Caenorhabditis elegans: one gene and its partner. The protein of the gene in region 1 interacts with the protein of each later gene in a pairwise test. Each region holds a gene or a part of one and is shown on either strand. Other genes may lie near its edges.

Region 1 (6,507 bases):
TTTTGAATTTTTATGTTTATTGTTTTATTTCTCAGAAAACATAACACCCGTCTTCCTTCCCTCTGACACTTGCCTAAAATGGTAATGTTTCTATCGTTCTGGAGAAGTGATTTTTGCGAAAATGCTTATTCATTCAATGCCGCGGCCGACACTTTTCGGAATCCGCTCCGCACTATACAGTTTCTTCCAATTCATTTGTTTTTCTAAGTCTAAGCCTCAGCTTAGGCCTAAGCCTGAGCTTAAGCATAAACATAAAAAATAACCAAATTGAGAAACAATATTAGTTCATAGAAAATATAATACAGATTTATTAAACAATTTCAACATAAAATTCCATGTTCACTATTCAGCAAGCTTCTTGACCGCAGAATCTGAAAATAAAACCCTTTTTAGAAAACTCACTATTAGAAGTGCATACCTTTTTCCCTCCACAAAACTATGAACGGGACTAGAGCTGAGATCAGTGCAGCAAAAACCAACAACGATCCTCCAAAATAGTAGGTGGCCTCGAAGTTATCGAATTTCAAGTAGAAAAATGCTAAAATTTCGGATTTTTGTGATGCTCTGGCTTAGGAAAACTTTTCAAACCTGCACACGGCATACCGACTAGAATCGCCGAAAGTTTGATTGCTAGGAGAAAGTTTTGGGATTGTTCAGAAGCAAAAGTCACAAAGTGTGGGAGGGTGAAGCTCTGGCCTGAAATCTGAAGGTATTATTGTTAGGCTTAGGCTTAGGCTTAGGCATATATTTAGGCTTAGGCTTAGGTCATAGATTAGGTTTAGGCCTAGGCTATGGCTAAGGCCTAGGCTATGGCTTAGGCCTAGGCTTTAGCTTAGGCCTAGGCTTTTGCTTAGGCTTAGGCTTAGACGTGGGCTTAGGCTTTGGTCTAGGCTTCGGCCTAGGCTTAGGCCGTAGATTAGGTTTAGGCTTGCGCTATGGCTTTAGCTTAGGCCTAGGCTTTATCTTAGGCCTAGGCTTTTGCTTAGGCTTAGGCTTGGCGTCAGTGGCGAGCGTCAGCGGCGAGCGTCAAAACTCTATAAACCCACGCTATTTAGGCTTGGGTTTATAGCGTTTTTTTCATTAGGCTTAGGCTTAGGCTTAGGCTTTAGACTTAGGCTTAGGTTTTAATTTAGGCTTTGGTTTTGTCTCAGGCTTAGGCTTAGGACTAGATTTATGCCTAGTATTAGGCTTCGGCTTAGAATTCGATTTCCGGACTTACCGAATACTATTCCAAGGAACAGGTAGAACACAAAATTGATTCCTGGTTGATGAATATTGGGAATAGCAATCGTCAAAAGTCCTGCGATCATTTGCGACAGGGTGATCAGGATCAAATTCCGGATATTCCCACCTTCAACAAGCGGGCTCAAGTATGTGCTTCCTGAAATTCCATAAAAAGAGCAATTTTCAACGTCACATTCCAACTACCAATGTACAAGCCCGCGGTAAGCATTCCAAACAGAAATACAACTCGCATTAGAATATAGGTGAAGCCTCCTGTGAAATCCGCGAAAAGCATCAGGGGAATACAGAACCCAATAATTGATATGTAGTGGGAAGCACTGAGAAGTATGAAGACGGGATCTTTGAGTAGACCCCACGAAGATCCAGGCTCTTTTGAAGGTGGAGTTGGGGGTAAAGGAAGAGAAGCATCTTTTTTGCTGCTGAGCACAGTTTTCGGGATGGTCCTGAAATTTATTTAGCACATCCAGATATGAGCTAGTTCCAAACATGGTGCATCAACTGGCTTCACCCCACTGAACTTTGATGAGTAGCGCCAGTGGGGAAATTGTTAAGAACCACTCCTATAGTCCCAAAATGACCGAATATCATAATAAAACTTTTTTAGTTTTTAACTTTTAACATTTTAATGTGGTCAACATAAACAGATATATGAGGCCGGGACTAGTTTTCGACATGGTGCATCGACATCTCACCCAACTTTGACAAGTCATATCTCGGTTGTATTTAGTTTTATCAAAAATTTGTCAACTAACAAAATACTTATCGTATGTTTTTCTATAGCTTCGCAGTAAATTTCCTATTAATAACGTAAAATTGAACGAAGATATCAAGCTGTCAAAGTGAGTGAACCAGATTCTTTTTTTTTTTGAAATTCTATGCTATATTTTAATTTAAAAACGTAATGATTAACAAAAACCCACTTGGTGCATCGACACCTCACTTGAATGGTTTTCGTGTTTTTGTTTCCGAAAATTTGCTGTAAAAATTATTTTTTACAGCCAAAATAAGCATTATAGAAACAATTTTAGTATATAAAATTAAAAACCTACATATTATTGTTGTGGTGTTGCTTTGTACGAACAAGTGCAAATATATATATAAGTTATGGGAAGACGGGTGGTCGTAAAAATAGAGAAAGAGAGAGGGCAAAGAAGGTAAATAACGCATGGTAAGACCCCTTGAGAAATGGAAAATGACGTTAGAGAGACTTTAGTGAGCTGGAGGGGAAGATCATAGGATAGTTGTACTTGATGGCCAGGAATTACAGTAACCCGTAGTCGGGCGCTGTACTTTTCAGAAAATCAGTATACATATGTATATAAAAAATGCCGGGAAATTTAAATTATCTGAAAAAAACAAGTTTTAAATTTTTTGAGAAAAAAATGTTGGCGGGAAATTCAATTTTTCTGAGAAAATATTTTTGGCGGAATATTCAAATTTTCGGAGAAATTATTTTGGCGGGAAATTCAAATTTTTCGAGTGAATATTTTGGCGGGAAATTCAAATTTTTCGAGTGAATATTTTGGCGGGAAATTCAAATTTTTCGAGTGAATATTTTGGCGGGAAATTCAAATTTTTCGAGTGAATATTTTGGCGGGAAATTCAAATTTTTTGAGTGAATATTTTGGCGGGAAATTTAAATTTTCGGAGAAATTATTTTGGCGGGAAATTCAAATTTTTTGAGTGAATATTTTGGCGGGAAATTTAAATTTTCGGAGAAATTATTTTGGCGGGAAATTCAAATTTTTTGAGTGAATATTTTGGCGGGAAATTCAAATTTTTTGAGTGAATATTTTGGCGGGAAATTTAAATTTTCGGAGAAATCATTTTAGCGGGAAATACAAATTTTCGGAGAAATTATTTTGGCGGGAAAATCAAAATTTCAACAAAAAATTTTGGCGGGAAATTTAAATTTTCTGAGCAAACATTTTAGTTAATTTTTTTGGAGGGATCATCAAAAATATTTTTTCAGAGAAAGCTCTCCCCAAAAAAATATTCAGAAGCCCTAATTTGTTCTATGCTTGTTACGTGTTTTCTTCTGCTCTGCGAACCAAAATTTTACCATTTTCCTCCTGTCCCCCCTAACTAAACACCATCATTGAAACTGAAAAGTATAACAATTTATTTTCTTATCACACAACCCGGACACCTTTATCGCATTACCCCTGCCATGCTTCTCGCACATTTTGCCCATTAACTTTTTATTCCCTTCTGTTAGGTGGAGACTCTATTCTTTCTTGCTCCCTGTAAAATGACTCCGCCCGTGTGCCCGCTTCAAGGTGCAGAATCAGTCAGTCGGACTGGACAATCGACATGGCTCGGTTACTACTTTTGACGTTGGCTCTTTTCGGAGCAACTGCTGCACAGACATGTAACACTGGTGGTATTTATAATGCGCATTTTAATAGGTATGTTCCGTATTATGGATGAGTAGGTACTAGATAGGTTCGTAGATACGCAGGTACGTAGGTACGTAGCTCCTAATAGTACGGGTACGTTCTGTATAATGGGTACGTAGGCACGTATGTAAGTAGGTACGTAGGTACATAGGTACTACATAAGTACGTAGGCTCGTAAGTGCATAGATATGTAGTACTAATGTTGTTTTTGTAATTATAAGAACAATTGGAGGCATTTTCAAAAAAAAAATTTTTTCAAAATCATGTGAACTGTTTTGAAATTTTTCAGTCAAAAAAATTTTTTTGGAAAAATTTTCTGAAACTTTGCAAATGATTACCACTTGTTTTATTGATCAACGTTTTGAATTCAAAATTTTAACGTGTCTACAGTGTTTTCTGTGTCATGAAATACACATGTACCAGTTACCTTTTCAGATTTAAGCTACTCCCTAAAAAAAACGTAAAATTTATGTTTGAAAATTATAAAATGACAAACTAAAGCACTTTCAACGTTTTTGGAGAGTTTCAGAAAAATTTTCGAAAAAATCTGAAATTATTTGAATACGTCCCAAATCATTTGCAAAATCTCAAAACATCATAAAAATACATTACACTAAAAAAAACGGCATTGAACATTTGGTTTTTCTTCCCATCACTTCTTAACTATATGGCACCATTCTTTAACGTTATCACTAATGGCGAAATGATAAAAAAACATAATAGTTAGTGACAAAATCAGAAAAAAATTAAAACAAAAACTGTGTGATAAAAATTGAGACCTGAAATTAGTACTAAAAGCGTTGAGCAGAAAATACATGTACATATATGCATGTATATATATATATATATATAAATATATATATATATATTTTAACCAAAGTGGTCTATTATAGTCAGAGATTTTGTTTTGTTTCACTGGCTTATTCTGAATTTTGCCCGAAATGATCTATACAGGTTCAGGACAGTAGTAGAGACGATTTTCCGGGAAATTTTCCTTTTTCAATTTACGAAAGGGACCTGTTCACTGAGAATATTATATATCCTATCACTGATCTAGTATCCAAATTCCAGATGCTACCAATACTTCACTGCACCGGCTCAATTCGAGTTCGCTGAAGAGCAATGTAATCTCCTTGGCGGCCACCTTGCTTCCGTTCAGAATGGACAAGAAAACGCACTTCTTCAGTCAAACGCAGCCAATTCATTCAAGAGATCCAACTATTCCGATTACTGGATCGGAGCCAATGATCTCGAGACATCCGGCACCTGGAAATGGACAGATCCATCAGTGACATTCGACTATTCCAACTGGCAATTGGGTGAACCCCAATCCGGAAGTGACTGTGCAATTCAGGATAAGGGAGATGGAACCTGGTCGGCTATTGGATGTACTTCCTACAGGCCATATGTATGTGTCACACCTGTTATTATGACTGCCACGTGTCCACCAATCACTACACCGATTCGTAAGTGTTGATATTAATTTTAATAGCGGTGGTTCTATGTATTTTGTAGGTAGAGGTCTTGTAAAATTTTTATAAAATTATCCAAAGTACATGAAAACTGAAGTAAAACCCCTAGAGACTACAGGAGGCCACAGGGAATTGGGGGAACTGAGATCTAAGGGAATCGAGATCTAAGGGAATTGAGATCTAAGGGAATCGAGATCTAAGGGAATTGAGATCTAAGGGAATCGAGATCTAAGGGAATTGAGATCTAAGGGAATCGAGATCTAAGGGAATTGAGATCTAAGGGAATCGAGATCTAAGGGAATTGAGATCTAAGGGAATCGAGATCTAAGGGAATTGAGATCTAAGGGAATCGAGATCTAAGGGAATTGAGATCTAAGGGAATCGAGATCTAAGGGAATTGAGATCTAAGGGAATTGAGATCTAAGTGAATTGAGATCTAAGAGAACTGAGATCTAAGGGAATTGAGATTTAAGGAAACGGAAAATTTAGGAAACTGAGATCTACATAAGGAAACTGAAAACTAGGGCTCCCATGAGATGCCGCACGTCGGCCTCAGCGGTCGCCGCACGTATCCGAATGTTTAGTGCGGCGCGGAACCCCGAATGTGTCGGTCGCTCCAAATAACTACCTCTCCGCACAACCTTGCGCACACACCCAGCTACTCGTTTCACGCCAAGCTGCCGAATTCCGAACGTGTCGGCCGCTCCAAACAACTGCCTTTCGCACACACACAGAGGCCCGCATTTCGCGCCTCGCCGAGCTGGGAGCCCTACTGAGATCTATGAGAACTAAGAACTTTTTTAGCAACTACCTGCCCTACGCCAGCTCCGTGCCCTGTCAAGACCTGCGTGCCGTCTTGCGACCAAGGATGGACCTACTTTGCACCAACCGACTTCTGCTATCGTGTCTACCATAACGCCAAGTGGGAGGACGCAGAGGCTGCGTGTGTGCTCCTTGGAGCTCACTTGACCTCAGTTCACTCGGAAACCGAGAACACCTTCGTTGCTAGTAAGTCTCCACAACTACCTGTACCACCTCAACACCAATAATCTTCAGACCTTGCCTCGTGTGGAATCAAGGAAGGAAACCCGAAGGATCTCGCGTGGATCGGTATGCACAAGGTCGGTCAGGACTGGGTATGGACTGACGGTACCCCATCAAACTACATCAACTGGGCACCAAAGCAGCCTGACAATCCGGGAAAGGAAAATTGTGTGGAGACAGCGCCGGATCTTTCCCACGATAAGTGGTATGAGAACTGGAATAACGAGGCGTGCAGCACCGAGATGAGAGCTTATATCTGCAAGAAGGGATCTATTCATGCATAGATATATATATATTGATATGTATACTATTTAATAAATTGGTTTCATCACTTAAGAATGTTTTGT
Region 2 (6,507 bases), on another chromosome or scaffold:
AAACATGCACTTCAAATGAGCTCTATCGTCACGCGCGAGAGAGTGAAGACGCAGAGAAGTCATAGCGCGTCGCTTTCTTCGTGCGATTGGCGCATTTCACGCGCAGGAGGCCGTGTGAAACGCTAAAAAAGCTCGAATTTGAATTACCGCTGAAAAGTTGTGTCCAATAGAGCGCATTTGCACCATGCTCAAAAACTGTTGTACATTTAAGTTAGCTTCTTGTTCACAACACTCAAATACACATAATACACAAAAAACATGCAGTTTTCAAAACACTTTCATTCAAACATTCACTGGTAAGGAGATCTCTAATGATTGCTAGTTTGACTCTTGCTCTTATTCAAAGGAGTTGCTGATGATTCGGGTTTGGCCATTGTCTCCTCAATCTTCTCTCTCAATTCGGAAGCCGTCGGGCGTTGATTTGGATCCACGTGCCAGCACAGTTTCATTATTTCTTCAATATCCCATGGCATTCCTTTTGGAGTCGGAAGCCGATAGCCAGCCCGAGTTTTTTGCTGAAAAGCAGAGGTACGACAAACAATAGGATATAAATTACTAACCTTCACCATATAACCTTTCCACTCACTATAAGGGGAATCATATGGCACTTCAAAGAACTCCCACATAGTTATTGCAAACGCGAAGATGTCCGTATTGTCACGTGTCTCTCCATTATCCCAAACTTCTGGTGCCAACCAACGGGTATTGGTTGGTTTGTTCAAGTCGACTTTGTAGATTGACGTGGCACGGCACATTCCAAAGTCAGCAATTTTGACGATTTCCTTGTGAATGAGACAGTTTCGAGCGGCAATGTCGCGGTGGATGCATCTGAAAAAGTAGATTACAGTGAACCAGTTCTTTGGAAGTGAGGAAAAAACCACAAAAAATCTCTCACTATCATATCACATGTCTTGGGTGAAAAATCAGAAAGAAACTAACTTCTTCTTGTGCAAGTACTCTATCCCACATGCAGCGTGATAAGTGTACATGATCCTTGTCTTTGTGCTCAACTTGGCTCCCTTTTCCACTAGTTTATCCTCTACCGATCCACCGTTACAAAGCTCCAGAACCAGCAAGTATGGAATATCATCAACAATGTATCCATAGAACTTTACAATATTTGGATGGTCATAGAGTTGCATAACTCTCGCTTCCTTCATCATCTCGGCTAATGATTCTTCGTCGTTTCCTTCAGTGTCAAGTTTTTTTACAGCAATTTTGGTATTGTTCTTGGTGAGACGGCCAAGATAGACGGTTCCGTAGGCTCCACTACCAAGCTGAAAATTAAGGTTTTCAGGTATTGAAGCCTCTTTCATTAATAATTAATACCTTCTTTTTAAAGTCCACATCTTTATGCATTAATTGGAACTTTCCCTTGGGAATCGCACGTTTCAAGATCACCCGTTCTCCTTTGATTTCCATAGTTTCTTTTTGCATTGAGTCAACCAGCTTCCCAATATTAGGAGCTGATTTTCCCTGAAAACAATATTAAATTTGTTAGTTAGAAGTACGGTGCATGCATACCCCAATCTTTGCAGAAGTCGGATTCCGTTTGATTTCGAAACGACGTATTCCTTTTTTCAAACGAACAGCCAAGTAGAGTTGCTGAAATAAATTCACTTTTGAAGATTATTTAAACTAAATTGGCAAACCATTTTGTTCAATTCCTGATTCATTTTTACAACAATCATGTAGTCACCGTCATTCTGAAAAAAATTAAAATCGTTTATGTTGAAAAATCCAACGTTCTTCAAATTTGAAACCAATTCCATCTGGAAATCCATCTAGACAGTTATTGTGTTCACCAGGACCCTTGTAAGATCGCTGTAGACGCTCATCACGTTACGTTTGTGTTGAGCGCGTGCTCGCGATAGGTCCATTGTGGTCACTGATTGAGTCAATATGTGTACAGTGGATACGAAATGACATAAGATCCACGGATAAAGCGCCCTCTAAATTGTCACTTACAACTAGAAGCTGATCAGCATCCTGGTTCATGAGTGCACCATGATAATACGGTAGGTTAATGTCCTCTTCAAGAATCCTGAATTCATGAAGATTTTAACAACAACCGCATTTAAATTCAACTCACTTTTCTTTGTTAGCCATTTCCGCGTTGGATAAAAACTAAGAACTGAACTTGGAGCGAAGTTCAAAACCTTTTTATTGAAAGGTGGAGGGGGGAGGGAATGAGTTCACGTTGTCATCATTTTATTAAAATTAAAATCAATTTTTCAAACAAAGAATTCTTTTTTTCCTATTTATTAGTATTGCCTGCAAGTCTAATTTTCAATTGGTCAGTGCATGAAAAATTTTTTATGTATCATTTTGTATCCAAGACTGCTTGTTTTTACCTACAAAAACTGCAATTTTGCCTAGAAATAAACCAGAATACTGCATAATAATAGCCAACATGACTTTTAAAAAGGCTTAAATTTGTGTGGTGTAAGCAGATAAACGGCAGTTTATTTGCAGTTAAATGGCAGATGGCACACCTCTGGTGCTATATATTTGTCCCCCCAACTAACTGCTGGCGGTCTGCCAACTTTCTGCCAATTAAAAATAGCCGTTCTATCTGTGTATCCATTGCTCCAGGTGGCCAAAGTTTTCTATTATTTCTCTAGAATTGAGTTTTTTATGCCATTTTTTTGAGGTCAAACAATCTTTTATAATTTAGAGAATATGTCTTCGAAGAGAAACATTAATTGATTTGTTTGATTGATTTCTTGCCGTTTCGTTGAAATTGTTAACCAAAATAAAGCGAACAGTGTTCGTGTGTTCGTTTTACAGGTTAAACTTATCACATGAAAAACCACTAGGATCTGTCAAAGAGACAAGTGATATATAAAAAATGCGCGGCATTTTTCAATGACTTCCCCAATCCCTTTGATAATAAACCTGTTCTTTCAGAGAGACGCAGAAGAAGAACACCGTCGGTTATTGATTATTTTTCACTGATTAGTCACGTCTTCACATTTTTCTAGAATTTATAGTTTTGAATCCTATCTATTCAAATATTATTTTCAAATGGACAATTATGAAAAAGTGCGTGTCGTCGGACGTGGTGCTTTTGGAGTTTGTTGGCTGTGTCGCGGTAAAAATGATGCATCACATCAAAAGGTTAGTCAGACAATTGTAATAGTTTCGTTGGACTCTTTTACATTTGAAGCCTGGTATGGTTTAATTTAGGGAAAATAATCAATTTTTAGAAATACTTATTTTATTGGAAAATCAGTTTTTTTTTCAAATAGCAGTACTGTGTTATAATCTACTAACTTTATAATTTAATTTTTCAGGTAATTATAAAACTCATCAATACTCACGGAATGACTGAAAAAGAGGAAAATAGCATTCAGAGTGAAGTAAATTTGTTGAAAAAAGTTCAACATCCATTAATAATCGGGTATATTGATTCTTTTATTATGGATAATCAACTTGGAATTGGTAAGTAAATTTAATTTTAAAATTGAATTAAAATTCGATATGTTCAGTTATGCAGTACGCGGAAGGAGGAACATTAGAGAGATTAATAAATGATCAGAGAGCGATTAAAGATTCAAACATGAGAGAATATTTTCCCGAAAAAACTGTTTTAGATTATTTTACACAGGTTAGTTATCATCTTAACTTTTTACTGAAACAAATATTTTTGAAGATTCTTATTGCACTCAATCATATGCACCAGAAAAATATCGTTCATCGTGACCTTAAGCCTCAAAACATTCTTATGAATCGCCGAAAGACTGTTCTGAAGCTATCGGATTTTGGAATTTCAAAGGAGCTTGGAACGAAATCTGCAGCGTCGACTGTTATTGGAACTCCAAACTATTTAAGCCCTGAAATTTGTGAAAGTATGTCAATTTCATTTTAATAATCATGAAAATATAATATTCAGGTCGCCCGTACAATCAAAAAAGTGACATGTGGTCTTTAGGATGTGTTTTGTATGAGCTTCTTCAGCTTGAAAGAGCATTTGACGGCGAAAATTTACCAGCCATTGTAATGAAAATCACCCGGGTATGTACCAAAAAAGGATAGGTCCCAAAACCCTTGCATTGTTCCCTGATGTTAAATTTTTAAATTTAATCATGTATCACTCAATTTCCAGTCAAAGCAAAACCCGTTGGGAGATCACGTATCAAACGATGTGAAGATGTTAGTGGAAAACTTACTTAAAACACACACGGATAAGAGACCGGACGTATCACGTAAAAAAAATTTCCACACTTGGAAATGTAATCGATTAATTTTCAGAGCTGCTTTCCGATCCACTTGTTCTTCCCTATTTGATATCAATTCATTGCGATTTGGGAAGAATCGAACCTCCACCGACGGATAAGGTAATTTTTAATTGTATTAGTGTTTTGATTTAGAGAAAAATGTCATGTTTACTATCTGGCCTTAACAGGGAATCATAATTCAGTTTTAAAGAAACCATCGACGTCATGCTAGTAAAAATAAATTCCTAGCGAGTTCTGTAGGTCAAACAGCGGAAAATATAAAAGCATGCTTTTGTTCTAATCTTCTTAATTAAATACCAGATAAATTACATTCTGAAATAGTGCTGGAAAACCAAAAAATTATTGAAAAACCTCTGTAACACATCAAAAATGATCACTTGATCGCACAGAATCCGGATTTTTTTCAGCCGTACTTTGAAATGATGTTCATTACTTGTCATGAATTTTATTTTTTTCAGAGAAAGCCATCAGCTTCATTGAGCAGTCGACTTCGAACGTATCCAACACAATCAACACTTCGTCCGTATTCTTTATCATCAAATGCTCCAACTACCCATTTGACACAATTAACACCAATGCCATCTCATATTGATTCTGGATTCTTTTCAAGTGGAAGAACATCAAATCAGAGAACACAATCAAGAAGTCAAGTGCATTCAAAGTATTAACTCCTGTATTAATTGTTTGTTTCTTTAAAATTAAAATTGAAGTTATTTTTTCACATAAAAACCAATCATTCGGAAGTGGGCAAAATATCACAAATGTTACTGTACGGGAAATGAGAAAGTGGACAAAACAAAGTATGCTAGGTATGATCTTTGTACAAAAGATTACGGTAGGTGAGAACAATGTTGTGGCCGAGATTTGTAAATGAGTTTGGTCGAGCAGGTGGTTGTTCACGTTGAGGATCCAGTTCAGCATTCGGAGATCGGGTTCGGGCTCGTCTTTCTGAGGCGCGCGCATTCCTCTGTTTGAAACTGAAATATTTGGATTTTAATTCATATGTAGTGCAAGTTTTTTGCCCTAAACCTACGGTACATGTATGTTTTATTCAAGTTGACAGGCAATTGCCTTTTTAAGGTCCCTATGAGAAATGGATAACCATGGTATTATTGTAGCAAAAACCGTAACAACAAGGAGTTGAGAGTTACAGTACTCCTCAAAGCCACCCACTCGGCAAAACGGCCTAACTTCATAGCATACTCTTGCAACTTCTTAACAACAATTAGGCATTTTAGCTTTTAGGCAAACTTCTGCAGCTTTTCAGACGACTTTTGCAATTTCTTAGCAGATGTAAAGCTAAATTTCGCTCACAATCCCGTTGGTTTTCGCAACTTCTTAACAGCTTTTTACAAAGTTATATAAATGTTTTTATTAAGTTGCAGGAGTATGCTATGAAGTTGCGACGTTTTGCCGAGGCATTTCTTTGATTGTCTTTTATGTTATATCCCGTGAATATGTGACATATGTAAGTAGTTGATTTCTTTAAACTCACTTCATACTATTCCGATCACCAAGGTTTCTTGAAGTTGTTTCCAAAAATCCATTTGTATTCTGTTCTAAGCTAACCGAATGACCATATCCATCTAACCAACTTTGTCTTCTTCCTTTTGCGGAATGACTTGAAAAACATGAATCATCTGATATATCAGAACCATTTCCTATTCGAATACTCATATCACTTTCCAAACTTCCACGTGAATCTCTTGATTCTCTTCTACTTCCTCTATCTTCTAGTCTTCCATCTGCTGATAGGAATGACATCTTTCTTGAATCAGATGAGAATGAAGGACGGGCAGCGCTGATCATTACACGTGGCAAGTTAGTAGAAGACATTGAAACTCTTCGATTTCCAAGACGATTTAATCCAAGATGATGATTACTTTGTTTGTGTTCTTGACGATCTTCCATTTCATATCGCCGTTGTTCAAGAACATCAAGCAGAATTCTTACAGAACTTAATACATCATCAAAATGAGCACAGCTGAATGTGCTCAAATCTTTGCATGCCAATCCATTGACTAGTGGATTCAAAAGATGAATACTCAGAAGTTGGGAGTCTTTTAATCGATTCGGATCACGCATGACAAGGCGCTGAACAATTCCTGCAAATTGGAAAAATTAAATTTAAAACATTGAGGTTTTCATAAAAGCAGCCGTTATTATTCTACTATTTCTCTAGAGAATTTAATATATTTCTTACAATGCGTTTGTAGACTTAACAATTCGCATATCTGAATAAATTTCTGAAAATCCATGTGCTCCG

Evidence for each region.
Region 2: the proteins of clec-50 (region 1) and nekl-2 interact in a two-hybrid assay, tested with the Caenorhabditis elegans proteins (one large-scale study listed by BioGRID).

The regions. Positions count from the first base shown.
Region 1 is NC_003283.11:19,752,388-19,758,894, reverse strand, and holds clec-50 (C-type lectin domain-containing protein), read left to right. Parts: upstream 1-3,526; 5' UTR 3,527-3,558; coding exon 3,559-3,653; intron 3,654-4,715; coding exon 4,716-5,110; intron 5,111-5,920; coding exon 5,921-6,124; intron 6,125-6,172; coding exon 6,173-6,444; 3' UTR 6,445-6,496; downstream 6,497-6,507. Other genes in the region: W04E12.9 (MFS domain-containing protein), read right to left, coding at 343-371, 419-538, 589-696, 1,220-1,381, 1,429-1,688, 2,295-2,296.
Region 2 is NC_003279.8:6,660,179-6,666,685, forward strand, and holds nekl-2 (Serine/threonine-protein kinase nekl-2), read left to right. Parts: upstream 1-2,955; 5' UTR 2,956-3,027; coding exon 3,028-3,120; intron 3,121-3,296; coding exon 3,297-3,444; intron 3,445-3,491; coding exon 3,492-3,610; intron 3,611-3,655; coding exon 3,656-3,851; intron 3,852-3,895; coding exon 3,896-4,017; intron 4,018-4,108; coding exon 4,109-4,208; intron 4,209-4,254; coding exon 4,255-4,340; intron 4,341-4,699; coding exon 4,700-4,909; 3' UTR 4,910-4,982; downstream 4,983-6,507. Other genes in the region: ZC581.7 (Tyrosine-protein kinase), read right to left, coding at 309-515, 561-828, 940-1,277, 1,330-1,476, 1,525-1,605, 1,653-1,706, 1,969-2,044, 2,093-2,109; ZC581.9 (Protein kinase domain-containing protein), read right to left, coding at 5,047-5,218, 5,737-6,346. UniProt on the Caenorhabditis elegans protein: Probable serine/threonine-protein kinase required for the completion of molting. May play a role in endocytosis in the hypodermis syncytium.